Cricetulus griseus: one gene and its partner. The protein of the gene in region 2 purifies or fractionates together with the protein of the main gene of each other region. This does not show direct contact. Links are inferred from orthologs where the notes say so. Each region holds a gene or a part of one and is shown on either strand. Other genes may lie near its edges.

Region 1 (6,169 bases), on a different chromosome or scaffold from region 2:
ATGGCTCATAGGCCCTCCCAGGGTGGTTGCTATGCTCTCTACGTCATTGTCGTGCGCTTGTCCGTAAAGCACACCCAGGGTCGTAAAGTGCCACCAGGTAACTTCTGATTGGCTCCTTGTCACAAGGCATCTGACCTTTTAGTGACTAAGGTTCCTTGTCACGAGACAGGCATCTGACCTCTAATTGACCAAGGCAGGTTTATGGCAAGCACGTGTTCGGCTGTTATGGCTGCCAAAAGGGAAGCCGGTTCCTTCAGCTGATGGAAGCAGAGACAGACATCCACAGATATACACTGAGCTGAAATCGGGAATTTAGTTGAAGAGAGGGAGGAATGAAGAAGGAAGGGGTCTGTACCAGGTTGGAGAAACCCACAGGAACAATTGGCCTGAACAAGGGAGAGCACATCGACCCCAGATGCTGTCGGGGAGGCCAGTACAAGACTGATCCAGACCCCTGAACATGGATGTCAATAAGGAGGCCTCTGCACTCCAGGGAGCCTCTGGTGGTGGATTAGTATTTTTCCCTGGTGCAAGAAGGGACTTTGAGAGCCCATCCCACGTGAAGGGTTACACTCTGGCCCTGGACACATGGGGAAGGGCCCAGGACCAGCACAGGAAGATTTGGTGGACTTTGCAGAGCCCCTGTTGAGGGCCCTACCCTGCCTGGGGAGTGGTGGGTGGATGGGGTGGGGGTAGGCTGGGGGTGGGGGAGGAGGGATGGGGTGAGGGGAGGGAGAGGGAGAAGGGACTTACATGTGAAACAAGCTTGTTCCCTAACTAGAACTAATAAATAAATAAATAAATTAAAAAAAAACAAAACTAAAACCAAAACAAACAAATGGAAAGAAACGCACTTTTTTTTTAAGTCACCAAATGCAAACACTAACACACTAACACTGCTGACGCTTCTCCACCCTCCCCCTTCTGGCACTTAGCCTCAAGGCAGTCTTTGAACAAGTACCCCTGCCGACAGCATTCATTACTACTATTGGCATTCCTTTGCGTGAAATATACATGGATTTCCCTGCCACACTTCCGCCCTCCTTTCCTCTCATCCTTCAGCCACCATGCTTACACTGCCTTCTCGGCACGACCACAGCCAGGACGCCCCTTCTTTCCTCCCTAGCCTTCTTCCGCACAGCTGCACCCCCCAGGAGTCCTTTCAGTTTGGTCCCGCCCCGGGCATTCTCCTACCTGGTAAACACCTGTCTCCGCCTGCAGTTTCCCGCCCTTCACTCGACTACCGCTAGGTTCCTCAGAGCTGTCTCACCTTCACCCCGAGCAAAACGTCCGTGCTCCCCAGCCCCTTGGCCCAAATCCCGGGAAAGCCGCTCGGAAAGCACTAGGTCCCGCCGCGGCACCGGCGCCCGCCGCGCAGCCGCAATGACAATTTATCTGTAATTCCCGCGCTCCCGGTCGCCTAGGAAACCGGCCGCTTGGCGGCTAGCGCCGGCCTCTAGGAACACAAGATCCAGACACGTCAGCGGAAGGGAGAGGAAAAAAAAGAGGTGGACACTCTTTCCGGGCTCAGGATTGGCCACCTGGTCTCTCCTTGTGTGTCGTAACTAGAAAGAGACGGAAGAGAAAGAATTTTGAGTTTCCTATTAGGCAGCCGCCCCCTCGCATCTACGCTTGCTTATTACGTCACAGTAATTGTGTACAAAGGGTCGGGATCGCTACCCAAGGCCGGAAGATGAGCGCAAGGTAGTGAACAAAGCAGTTGCAGAGTCCTCATCCCTCCCTTAGTCTTCCTGCCATGGAAGTCTCCAGTTTAGGTAAAGAAAGGATTATGTAAAAAGAACTACCAATTCCAGCATGCATTGCGGGACGAAAGGACTTCTCCACCGCGTCCCTTGGAAACTGTAGTCTTAAGGGAGAGGCGCTTCCAACACCGGAAGCTGGCGCGATTACCACAACAACCTAGTTAGTACGGCGGAAACCTCCTCGCGGTTATGCAGGTCAGCTGCAGTACATCGCAGCGTTCTGTTTTCATGTCTTGCTCACAGAGACTAGACTGAAAGAAGCTGCAAGTCCCAGGAATACTACAATTCCCATCCAGCCCCGCGATTCTCGGGTAACTAGTTCTCCAAGGTCAGTGACCTCAGGGAAAGCAGAGGGCGGCCAATGGGCTCGGGAACGGGAAATCCGCTCCGCTGACATCTACGCACTAGTTCCGCCCCTCGGCCTGGGTGTTTGTTATTGTTGTGCGGTTCAGACAGCTTCTGTCCCGCCCCTGCCGACGCAGCATTGGCCAATCGGTGCAGCGGTGGTTTTGAGGGACAAATAGTTAGAACCAATCGTTTTGTCGGAAACTCAGAGAAACATGGGACTGGGCCCGGTCTCTGTCCGCCATGTTAGATTCACCCCGCAGGGATAGCAGCCGAGCTGGCAGCGAACGGTCCTTGCACTGGCCACGGGCAAGCGCCCCCCGGGGGCGGAAAGCTGGTAAGGAGGCCGCCGCTGTTACCTACGAGTGGGGTCACGTCGTTCTTAGAGGTCTCGGGGAAGTTCAAGGAGAATCTTGAAAAGAGCAGTGACTTTTTTCCGTGTTCAGGGCAGCCAGTCCTTTCAGGGACCAGATGAGAGAGCCGCTTGGGTTGTCAGCGACAGTGGGGTGTGGATTCTGCTTGAGGGAGAGTCTTCATGGCTTAGAAAGGCCAGTTTCTGCTAAGAGAAAGTCGAAATCCCCCAGTACCAAAAGAGGGGCCTCCGGTGGTGGTGACACTCACTGTCCCGGGGACATGGAGTTCCAGGAAACGATTGCTGGAAGACTAGGACTAAGTGTGTGAGAAGAAGGGACACACATCTTCCTCATTCTGAGCTTTCCTCTTTTTGAGACTCTATTGAAGGTATCTTGATCTAGAACCTTCCGTGTTTAGAGAGGCATCGTTTTCCCTTTTTGTCAAGCACCCAGCTTTCAGATCACCCATTTTAAAGCTTAGGCGGCTTTAAACCTCTGGTAGACACAATAGAGTTCAGATTCCGAGATTCCCTATATTAATATTATTTGTCGACGTTGGAAAAACATCCTATGGGGAAAAGCTGACTTTGTCACATGAGTGTGAGTCAATGAGGCATGCGTTTACAGTGCCACTTAGGAAAGCTGCAGGCTTAGGCCCGGCCACCTGACCGCTGGCTGCAAAACAATAGGTAATATGTGGGGTTAACTGTACCTTTGATATTTTCACAAGTTCAACATTAATGTTCTGCCTGAAAGAATTTTCACACGTAAGTCACAGTGAGGTCCGGCCTTTATGAAGACCTGAATATTGGCTAGATAAACTAGACTCTCGCTTCCTGTTTTCTCACATTGACAGAGCAGCTGGATGAACTCCAAAGTATGGAAACTAATTCCCACTCCTGTCATTTGAGAACAGGGAAGATTAGTTTCCTTCCAGACAGAACTGTGTGGAAGTGTATTTCTTGAAGTTGGAAAGTGCGAGTGTATTTGGGAATTTTTTCTTTTTTAATTATCTTTATTTTGTGTGCATTGGTGTTTGGAACTGGAGTCACAGTTATGAGAAGCCATGTGGATGCTAGGAATTGAACCCGGGTCCTCTGGAAGAGCAGTCAGCGTTCTTAACCACTGAGTCATCTCTCCAGCCCAACCTCAGAATTTTTTCTTTTGGCAAACTCAGTCACTTCATTTTCCTTATTAAAAACAAACAAAAACAAACAAACAAACAAACAAACAAAAACCTAGGGTTGGTGGGATTCTGCCTAAATTTTAAAGATCCTAAGGAAGAATTGCATTTTGGGTAAATGTATGAATGCAGGATGTCCACAGGATTGATGCTAGAGACTATAGCTTTGACAGTGAACTTAACTCTAGATGAAGACAAGTCATGGAAAAAATTGGATAATTGAGTCTCTAAAATAATCTGTGATTAAGAATACTAGGTTCTTGGGTGGCAGTGACACATGCCTTTAATCCCAGCACTTGGGAGTCAGAGGCAGGCAGATCTGTGAGTTTGAGGCCAGCCTGGTGTACAAGAGCTAGTTCCAAGACAGTCTCCAAAGCCACAGAGAAACCCTGTCTTGAAAAACCAAAAAAAAAAAAAAAAAAAAAAGTACAAGGTTCTTAAAATGACAGTTGTACAGTTGTATCCACAGTGCTGAACTCTGGAGGCAGATGCGGACAATTCTCTGGTCTACATACATAGCAATCCCCAGGCCAGCATGGGCTACAGAGTGAAACCCTGTCTCTCTCCACCCAAAACAAAGTTATAATAGCAAGGTAGAAGCTATCTTAAGGACCTAAGGAATTGTTTCTTATGGTAATAATTTTCATATTTGAATACTATTTGAAAGAATCCTACATACTTTGTGGTACTGGAAATGGCCCCTTATCTTTGCACATATGTGGACTGGTTCCTTACTCCCTGTCCCTAGACCAAGGTTTTATTAGATCCCTTTGATAACATTGTTACTGTCAGCAGAATAGTCTTTGTTTTACATATTAAATGAGTGAAGCTCAAAGATAAACAGTCTTGCTCACAGTTGCACAGCCAATCTTGTGGTGGAGCTGTATCTGGGACCCAAGTGTTTGCACCCTATTGGCTCCCTTCTTTGACATTGGAAACATCTAGGACTCAAGTTCATTTCTTGTTTGTTGACCCGAATATGGCTCTTTCTACATGCAGATTGAAAATGAGATGAATATTTTAAGAGGTGACATTTTTTTGCCAGTGTCTATTGCTTGTAGCTTTAAACAACTTACACTATTTTTTTCCTAAAGTCACAGTTAACCAGTAAGCAAAGTCTTTCCTTAAATCAAATAGGTTGTTTTTTTTGGGGTGGGGGTGTTTCAAGACAGGGTTTCTCTGTGTAACAGCCTTGGCTGTCCTGGAACTGGCATTGTACACCAGGCTGGCTTCGAACTCACAGAGATCATGCCTGCCTCTGCCTCCCAAGCACTGGTATTACAGATGTGTGCCACCACTGCCCGGCTAAAATCAAATGGATTTTAACAATAGGCATTTGATTAAAAAATTGCCAGCATCTTAGGCATGATCATGATGGGTTTTTTCATTTTTCTCATTTTATAAGTATTTATGGAAGAAAGGGTGAATATTTTGTCAAGAGAGACATAGAGCAAGGTTGTTGCATGGTGGTAGAGTACCTTCCTAGCTTCCAAGCCCCTTTGTCATCTGCTCAACACACACACACACACACACACACACTCTCTCTCTCTCTCCCTCTCTCCCTCTCTCTCTTACACTAGAAAGGAAGGAATACTGACTAACAAAATTAGCTCCTAGTTGCTAATTGTGGAAGCTGATAGGTCCATGAGGACTCCTTGTGTTACATTCTTTAATTTTGTATAGCTTTTTCCACAAGTAATAGAAGTTTGTTGTTGTTGTTGTTTGGGGTTTGGGTTTTGGGGGGCATTGGTGTTTTTGTTTGTTTGCTTGCTTGTTTTCTGTAGACAAGTGCTCATTGTAGCCCAGACTGTTCTTGAACTGACTACCTAAAACTGCTTCTGTTGCTGCTCCCAGAGTGCAGACACCTTGTCTCTGTTCTCTATCTTGTTGGCTTGTGCTACAGATAACAACCAAACACTGGAAAATGCAGAGAAAACCTTATAGACTTAAGGTAGGGGAGTGTCTGTAGATATGTCCAAAATGTGGATTGTTTGTTTTCAAGACAGGGTTTCTCTGTGGCTTTAGAGTCTGTTCTGGAACTAGCTCTTGTAGACTAGGCTGGCCTTGAACTCACACAGATCTGCCTGCCTCTGCCTCCCGAGTGCTGAGATTAAAGGCATGCGCCATCAACACCCAGCACAAATGTGGATTTTTATTACATTTTTATCATGAGACTTTTATCTTCCCTCCCTGCTCTACACCTCTTTTAAAGACAGGGTTTCCTTGTTTTCTAGACTGGCCTAGACTCTTGGACTCCAACTACCATCCTGCTTCAACTTCTTGAGTAACTGAGACTACAGGTGTGTGACAATGTGCATTTTTTTTCTTTCTTTCTTTCCTTTTTTTTTTTTAATCTTATTTTATGTGCATTGGTGCTTTGCCATGAGTGTAGGGTCCCCTAGTAGAATTACAAACAGTTGTGAGCTGCCATGCGGGTGCTGGAAATTGAACCCAAGTCCTTTGGAAGAGCATTCTTAACCATTGAGCTCTTAACCACTGAGCCATCTCTCCAGCCCTTGACTTTT
Region 2 (7,434 bases):
TGTGGTCCTCTGCCTTAGCAGCAGCTCCTCAGCTTTGTCATTTTCTGTGACGGAGCCTATAACCTCATCAAACAGCTATTTTCTTTTAAAGACAGTCTTTCTATGTAGCCCTGGCTGTCCTGGAGCATACTATGTAGACCAGGATGGTCTTAAAGTCAGAGATCCTCCTGCCTCTGCCTCTGCCTCCTGAGTGCTGGGACACAAGGTGTGTACCACCATGCCCAGCTCTCCATGGGCAAGGCCTGGCCTTCAGTCAGCTGTGCCTCTGGAACTGCTCAGCACTGGCTGAGCATAGAAGCAGCCATAGTACAGCTCGCAACTGCCGAACTGTCCTCCCAGTGTGGATGGCCCAGCAGCAGCAGCAGGCAGCCACAGGCACAGCCCACATTAGCAACAGCTTATCAGGGCACAAGGTGCTGAAGCCACCAACAGACCCACAGGCGATCTGGGGAGAGCCTGCCTGGCTCTTCTGTGTGGGCACACCTTCCTGCCACTCTAGCTTTCCCACCTAACCCCAACCCCTTTGCCACCTCCTTGGCAAGCCCTTGCCTTGGCCCTCCCTGGACTTAGCCAAACCCATCTGCAAGCTACAAGGCTGAAGACAGGGAACATAGGCCTCCAGAGACCAACCTAAATTCAAAGATGAAGGAAACCTTAGACACAGGTAGCCCCAGGGCCCCTGCTTTTGTGGGCCTGTGCTCCAGCAGCCTGCCTACATACCTTGACATAGATGATAGGGATAATCAGCTTGGCCTTGGTAAAGTGCCGGGCCACCCGGTACACCGTCTCGGGCACATACTCCAGCACCAGGTTTAAATACAGCTCATCTTTCTGGAGGGCAAAGGGGAGAAGAGACCTTGTAAGCTAAGAGGGAAGGTGTGCAGAGACCAGTGAGGAGCAGAAGGACCTCGTGGGAAAGAGGGCGGGAAGATGGATAGCATCCGAGTGTGGCTACACCCCTACCCCTCAGATTCCAGCATCTCACCTTCTCGCCACTGGAGTAGAAAAAGTACCGCAGCCTCACGATATTGCAGTGGTCCAGCTTACGCATAATCTGCAGCTCTCGGTTCTGCAGGGCAAAAGGAGTCTCAATACACACAATCCCGCCTCCCCCGCCCAGCACCGTCACCTCACCCTCCATCTATCTCTGCTAAGAAAGCAGGCAGCTGTCCCTTGTGCCCCAAACTCAAGGCTGCAAGGCCTGGGGCAGGGAGAAGAAAATTAGTTCTTCACTTCAACCTCTGGCCCCTTCCCCTCACACACAAGCTACAGCCTATGGGCCAGTTAGTCCTGGGCCACCAGTGTGTTTACTTCAAGCTGCTTTTTAGAAGTTCTCTAACTACTGCTGACATGTAAAGGTCAGTTAGTTTCTTCATAAAGCCCACCCTCCGCATCTCTTGAAGAATTTACTGAAGCTAGGCCTGGTGCTGGTCTAAGATCTCAGCAATTTGGAAGGCTAAGGCAGGAGGACCTCAAATTCAAGGACAGTCAGAGCACCATGGGGCAGCTCTGTGTCAAAATACAAAGAAGGATGCTAGGGATCTAGCTAGCTCAGTGGTAGAGCGCTCGCACAGCACACACAACTTCTGGGTTCCATCCCACATACTACAAAACTAAAGAAATCAGACCACGGAAACGTCACACCAGACACAGGCAAAAGCAGCAGCAGCAGAGAGCAGTGGCTGTCTGCTTCTCCCTGACCCCCGTCCCCCTCCACCACCTTCCCTGGACGTGCTGGGGACTCACAACTCAACACGCCACCTTCCCTGGAAGTGCTGGGGACTCACAACTCAACACGCCACCTTCCCTGGAAGTGCTGGGGACTCACAACTCAGCACCTTCCAACCTCACCTTCCCCTCCGTGCCTGGGCCTCTTCCCACTGTCTGGTCCCACCCAGGGCATCAGAACCCTTCTCAGATCCGCCCCAGCTCTGCAGTTCAGCTCCACCAAGGTCTGACTGACACCCCAGAGCTGCTCCTGTCCAAGAGCCCTCACTGCCCAGCCCCGCTTACCCGTCGGGTCTGGTACAGTCCTCCGTGCACCCCCCTCCTCTCTCCTGCTACTTAGTTCCCCAGGCCTCTGCAGCTCACAGAGCACCCTATCCTCTGGAGGCAGCCCTGCCCTGCACAAGGCAAGGGGCTCAAATGAGCACCGTCAGGGCTCGATTACATTGAGCACTGGCTGACGCCTGGGGAAGAGCACGTCCTTCAGAGCCACCATCATCATCAGCCTTATCTGACCTTTTCTTCTGGAAGAGATGTGACCAAGTGGTTGAGGAGAGGGACTTCCGAGTCTACAGGCCAGAGCCTTCCCCCGAAGGGGCCCTTACCATGCAGCCTCATTTCTGCTGACATAGAGCAGGAATAGCAGCAGGTCCTGCCCTCAGAGATGCTTCAGGTCAATTAAATTAGAACTTGCCTGTCAAGCACTTAACACCAAGGAAATGCCCAGTAAACATTAGCTCTCAGCTCTTCTGAAATTTACATTTCCCCCAGTTCACTTCACCGGAATTCCCTCTCTCCTGAGGCCCATGCTCAGGTCCCGCTGAAATCCTGGGCTCAGGCTGGTGAGACACATCAGTCCATAGAAGTGCTTGCCATGCAAGACCGATGACCTGGGTTCAATCCCCAGATTCCAGGGTGGTAGGAGAACCAACTCCCAACAGTTGCCTGGCCTCCGTATATGCATCATGGCACACACATACATCATACACATGCACACATTAATAAATAATAGTAAGAACATTAAATTCCAGATACTAGTCCTATTGCTGGACACAAACAGCAGTCACTCCCAGTCCCCAAACCGCCAGTCCACTCAAGGTACCTTGAACCTTTTGTCCTGAAGAACCTTCTTGATGGCCACTAGTTCCCTTGTCTCTGCCAGCCGTGCCTGGTACACGACTCCAAATGAGCCATTGCCAATCACTTTGATGTCAGTGTAAGCCACCTCTTGGGAACGCTCTGGGCCTTGGCCTAGAGTGGCTACCACTGTGGTCACCTTCCCGCTGTCACCTAAGGAACAAAGGGAATACAATCTACTGACCTTTCCCAGGGAGGGAAAGCTGTTCAAAAAACTCACTGTGGGTGAAGGGACAGTGATTACTTGGTGACAGAGTACTGTCTGGCACACACCTTGAGTTCAATACCTGAGGACAGGGAGGGGAGCTTAGCTACTCCAGTAACCCGGAGCCTCCCTCCAAGGAACCCTACATTCTGCTTCCCATATTGGAGGGCACGGACATGCAAACTTATTTCCATTAATGTGTAAGTACCCACTTTCTCCTTTTAGCAAACAACAGCAAGTCACTTGGTGGTGGGGGACCATCAACACCCTCGGTGCATAACCCAGCCGCACCGGGCTCCCCGGCCTTTGGCCCCTTCTGCAGGGCCACCACAAGGTACCATCTTCCACTCAAAGGAGCAGAAACTATGAGGTGTTCGTTCTTCCAGAAAACTCTGGCCATTCTCACAGTCTGAGGGCACTAACTTCTAAATCCTCCCTGGCAGATCAAGGACCATTGCCACTGCTCCTGAGTGACGGAAATGAACGGGGCTAACTGACAGTGCCCTGACCCTCACTTGTTGCTAGGGGTGGGGGTTGCTGTTGCTCTTACCTAACACTGCACTGATTGGGATGTGTGGGATATTCTTAGTGCCATTCCCAGTCACCTTCCGAAAACTTATCAACAAATTCCAGTTGGGAGGGGGCAGTGTATGACATTTTGAAAAATAATCCTACATTGCTTTTTTTTTTTTTTTTTTTTTCCCCAGAGCCAAAGACGGCCACTTCAAACCCGTATTTTATAGTAGGTGTGACCCAGGCCACCCCATTCTATTTTTTGGCTAACCAGCCCCGCCCCCCCCCCCATTTTTTTCTTTTTAAAAAGAACACTGTTTGATTTGAAGCTCATTGCTATTCCCAATCTGCTGTCATTTACAAACAGCAATGATAACTCGCTGTCAGCATTGGGGACACAAGTCTACACATTTTCGATGGGTAAGGTGGTCATGTCAGGCCTTATATTTCAAGCCTGGCCCTGCTCTGTGGGAACATCAGTAATCCTAAGTCTGCACTTCTAAAAGAGACATTCCATCCAAATCCCCATTTCTGATGGAAAGGAAACCAGTGCCCCCCCCCCGCCCCCTTTTCCGTATAGGACGGTGGCAGTGATCTTTTTTATTCTTGTCTCTTAGGGGACAATGATCCTAGATCACCACTGGCAAGTAACTATGACCTCTGATCCTGTTCCCTAGTGCATGGCAGCGTCGTCAAGTACCCGGGACCTTGATACTGGATACTGGAAGAATGGGGCCTGTGACCTCTGCTTCTCGGATGCTGGTAATTCTGATTCTAAACTCCAAGGGATGGGAGCCCCCCAACTCCTTTATCCGGGAGCCCCGAGAGCCCAGATCCCGGTGTGAAACAGCACGGTGAACCTCAAGCTGCTTCTTTCTATCTGGGTCCCGGGGAAAAGAGAAAAAAAAAATAGAAAATAAAAATAAAAAATAATAATAAAAAAAAAATACCAAAGAAAGCCTGGCCGCCGCCGTTTGCCGGGCTTGGGGGACCCCGATCGCCGCCGCCACCGCCGCCACCACCACCCCACGGGGCGCCCCTAAGTACTCACGGCCCAGCTTCACTCCGGGCGGCGGGAAGCTAGTGCCCGCGCCGGCGCCAGCGCTGCCGCCTCCGCCGCTGCCGCTGGGGCCACCCCCGGAGCCCGAGGCGCCCACGCCCCCACCCATAGCCCCGACTGACGCCTTCCCGCCGCCACTGCCTCCCGGGCCGGAGGCCGAGCCCCCGGGGCCGCCTCCACCGCCTCCGCCTCCGCCGCCTGGCTCCGCGAACGAGCTGGTCCGCGCCCGGCCCGAGCTCCCAGGGCCGCCTCCCGAAGGCCCGCCGCCACTCATGGCGCCGAGCGCAGGCCCAGGGCCGCGGGCTCGGGCTGCCTGGGCTGCCCCTGCCGCCGCCGCCTCTGCCGCCGCCTCCCCTGGGCTCCGGCCTCTTCCAGGCCGCGCCGTTCGGGCTCCGGCTCCGGCCCAGCGCCCGCCGCGGGGCACGCCGGGAGATGAAGTCCCTCTGCCGTCGGCTTCGTTGTCGCCACCCTCGGACTCGCACAGCACGCCGGGAAATGGAGTTCTCAAGACCTCAGAGTAGCTGACGGGGGGGGAGGGGGGCGGGGAGGGGGGACAGAGGGAAAAGGGGTGGGGGGGAAATACGGTTCGCGCTGCACGTCGGGAAGTAGAGTCCTGGATAATGTCACCCGACCCTGACCAAAGGCAACTCTAAAATACTTCGGAAGCCACATTCAGGGCAAGACGCTCATTACACAGATGCAACAGCAAGCCCCAGAGGCTATCAGAAATGAAATCCTAGCCCCTCCATCCCGGAGCGGCCTCCAACCCTGAAGCATTCTGGGAAATGGAGTCCAGTCACCCATCCACTCCCATGGGCTGGTCGGTGACTTCCTGTGCCGGGTGCCTTCTGGGAGATTGAGTCCGCACTCGTGCACCCTCGGTTCTTGATCTGTGAAGCACACTGGGAAATGGAGTCGTCACCACGCCCTCACCGCATTGCAGGTGTAGAGCGTTTTGTAAAGCACGCTAGGAAAAGACTCAGGTGGTCCTCAAACCCCAAGTAGATACTGTAACTGGAAGAGGTAGGATAGGAAATGGAGCGGGCATCGCGCTCTCTCTGTCCAGTTAGCTGCGCCGCAGTTCCTTCCGGGAAATGTAGTCGACACCAAGAGTTAAGCGCGGTGCTTCAGCCAGCCTGGTGTCTTCTGGGAAATGAAGTTCAAGACAGCCTCATCTTTGAGGAAGGGGATGGGAGCGACCAGCAGCCAGAGGCATGCTGGGAAGAGTCCACAGTGGAATCTGACTCTTTGTGAAGCTAGGTGCAGGGCTTCTTGGGAAACGTAGTCCAAAGGGAGTGCTGTGGCTGGCAGTGGAGGTGAAAGGTTAAGGACGAGAGTTCCCGGGGGGAAACTATTAGGAGTTACAATGTCTCCTCCCTGGTCCTCAGCCCATCAGCCACTGCTGGGAAAAGGAGCCAGTCCCTCGAGGGCCACAGATTGGGAAGAGAAACACGTTTCCTCCCTGAATCCTCCAAGGGTTTCACGAACAGTCCCGGCCCGACCGACCGACCGACCGCGGGTCCCAACGCTTGTTTTCGGGGACTCTCTCTCTGTCTCCCTCTGTCTCTCTGTCTCTCTCCCTCTCTCTCCCTCTCCTCTCTCTCTCTGTCTCTCTCTCCCTCTCCTCTCTCTCTGTCTCTCCCCCTCTTCTTTCTCTGTCTCTCTCCCTCTCTCTGTCTCTCTCCCCCTCTCTCTCCCCCTCTCTCTCCCTCTCTCTCTCTCCGTCTCTTCCTCTCTCTGTCACTCCCTCTCTCTCTCCCTCCCTCTCCCTCCCCCTCTCTCTCTCTCCCTCTCTCTCCCTGTCTCTCTCTCTCTCCCTCTCTCTGACAACGTGGTTACAGCCAAGAGGACGAGCTGCACGACTAAAAAATAATAATAATAATAATAAATGAGACAACTTATGTCCTGAACTCGTATCCCAAACGATACTGGGAATCCCTCTCTCTCTCCTCCTCCCCCCTCTCTCTGTCTCCTCCTCCTCCCTCTCTCTGTCTCTCTCTCTTCTCTGTCTCTCTCCCTCTCCTCTCTCTCTCTCTGTCTCTGTCTCCGTCTCTCTCTCTCCTTCAGACTACGTTATCCAGAAGGCAAAGCGCAGGTCCTTCCGCCCACTTTGCAAAGCTTCACGCTCGCTCGCTCGACTGGAGAGGGCGGTTCCGGTGCAGCACAGCCAAACGGACGGCTGCCGCCCTCTGACGGCTGCTCGGAGTTGAAAAGTAAAATTTAAGTCAAGCCCCAAGGCATAGGAGGACCAAGAAGTCTCACGTGTGTCTGTGTGTGTCTGTCTGTGTGTGTGTTTGGTGTGTGTGTCTGTGTGTGTCTGTGTGTGTGTGTCTGTCTGTGTGTGTGTTTGGTGTGTGTGTCTGTGTGTGTGTGTGTGGTGTGAGTGGTGTGTGTGTTTGGTGTGTGTGTCTGTGTGTCTGTGTGTGTCTGTGTGTGTGTGTCTGTCTGTCTCTGTGTGTGTCTGTGTGTGTTGTCTGTGTGTCTGTGTTTGGTGTGTGAATGGTGTGGTGTGAGTGGTGTGTGGTGTGTGTGTGTGTGTGTGTGTGTGTGTGTGTGTGTGTGTGTGTGTGTGTGTGTGTGTGTGGTGTGTGTGTGTGTTGTGTGTGTGTGTGTGTGTGTGTGTGTGTGTGTCAGCACAGAACCCATTACTTAACCGCCGGAGCCGGTATGACCTGAGCAGACGGCCGGTCTTTGCATTAATCTCCGTGGGGCACTTGGAGGGCGAATGTCAGAGAAGAGCTGTAAAATGTCTCCAAGTGTCTAAGGGGGTCCTAGAGATGTCTGCATGAAAGAA

What was found.
Region 1: the proteins of Gsk3a (region 2) and Nbr1 purify together in Homo sapiens (affinity purification with western blotting; 3 studies listed by BioGRID and IntAct, with this or other methods). This does not show direct contact. The link is inferred for Cricetulus griseus from reciprocal best matches to the Homo sapiens genes GSK3A and NBR1.

Annotation. Positions count from the first base shown.
Region 1 is NC_048600.1:114,592,061-114,598,229, forward strand, and holds the start of Nbr1 (next to BRCA1 gene 1 protein), read left to right. Parts: upstream 1-1,687; 5' UTR 1,688-2,091; intron 2,092-2,293; exon of another isoform or gene 2,294-2,445; intron 2,446-5,878; 5' UTR 5,879-5,944; intron 5,945-6,169. UniProt on the Homo sapiens protein: Ubiquitin-binding autophagy adapter that participates in different processes including host defense or intracellular homeostasis.
Region 2 is NC_048602.1:9,984,513-9,991,946, forward strand, and holds the start of Gsk3a (glycogen synthase kinase-3 alpha), read right to left. Parts: upstream 5,025-7,434; 5' UTR 4,915-5,024; coding exon 4,632-4,914; intron 4,461-4,631; coding exon 4,281-4,460; intron 3,016-4,280; coding exon 2,828-3,015; intron 1,070-2,827; coding exon 986-1,069; intron 832-985; coding exon 721-831; intron 1-720. UniProt on the Homo sapiens protein: Constitutively active protein kinase that acts as a negative regulator in the hormonal control of glucose homeostasis, Wnt signaling and regulation of transcription factors and microtubules, by phosphorylating and inactivating glycogen synthase (GYS1 or GYS2), CTNNB1/beta-catenin, APC and AXIN1.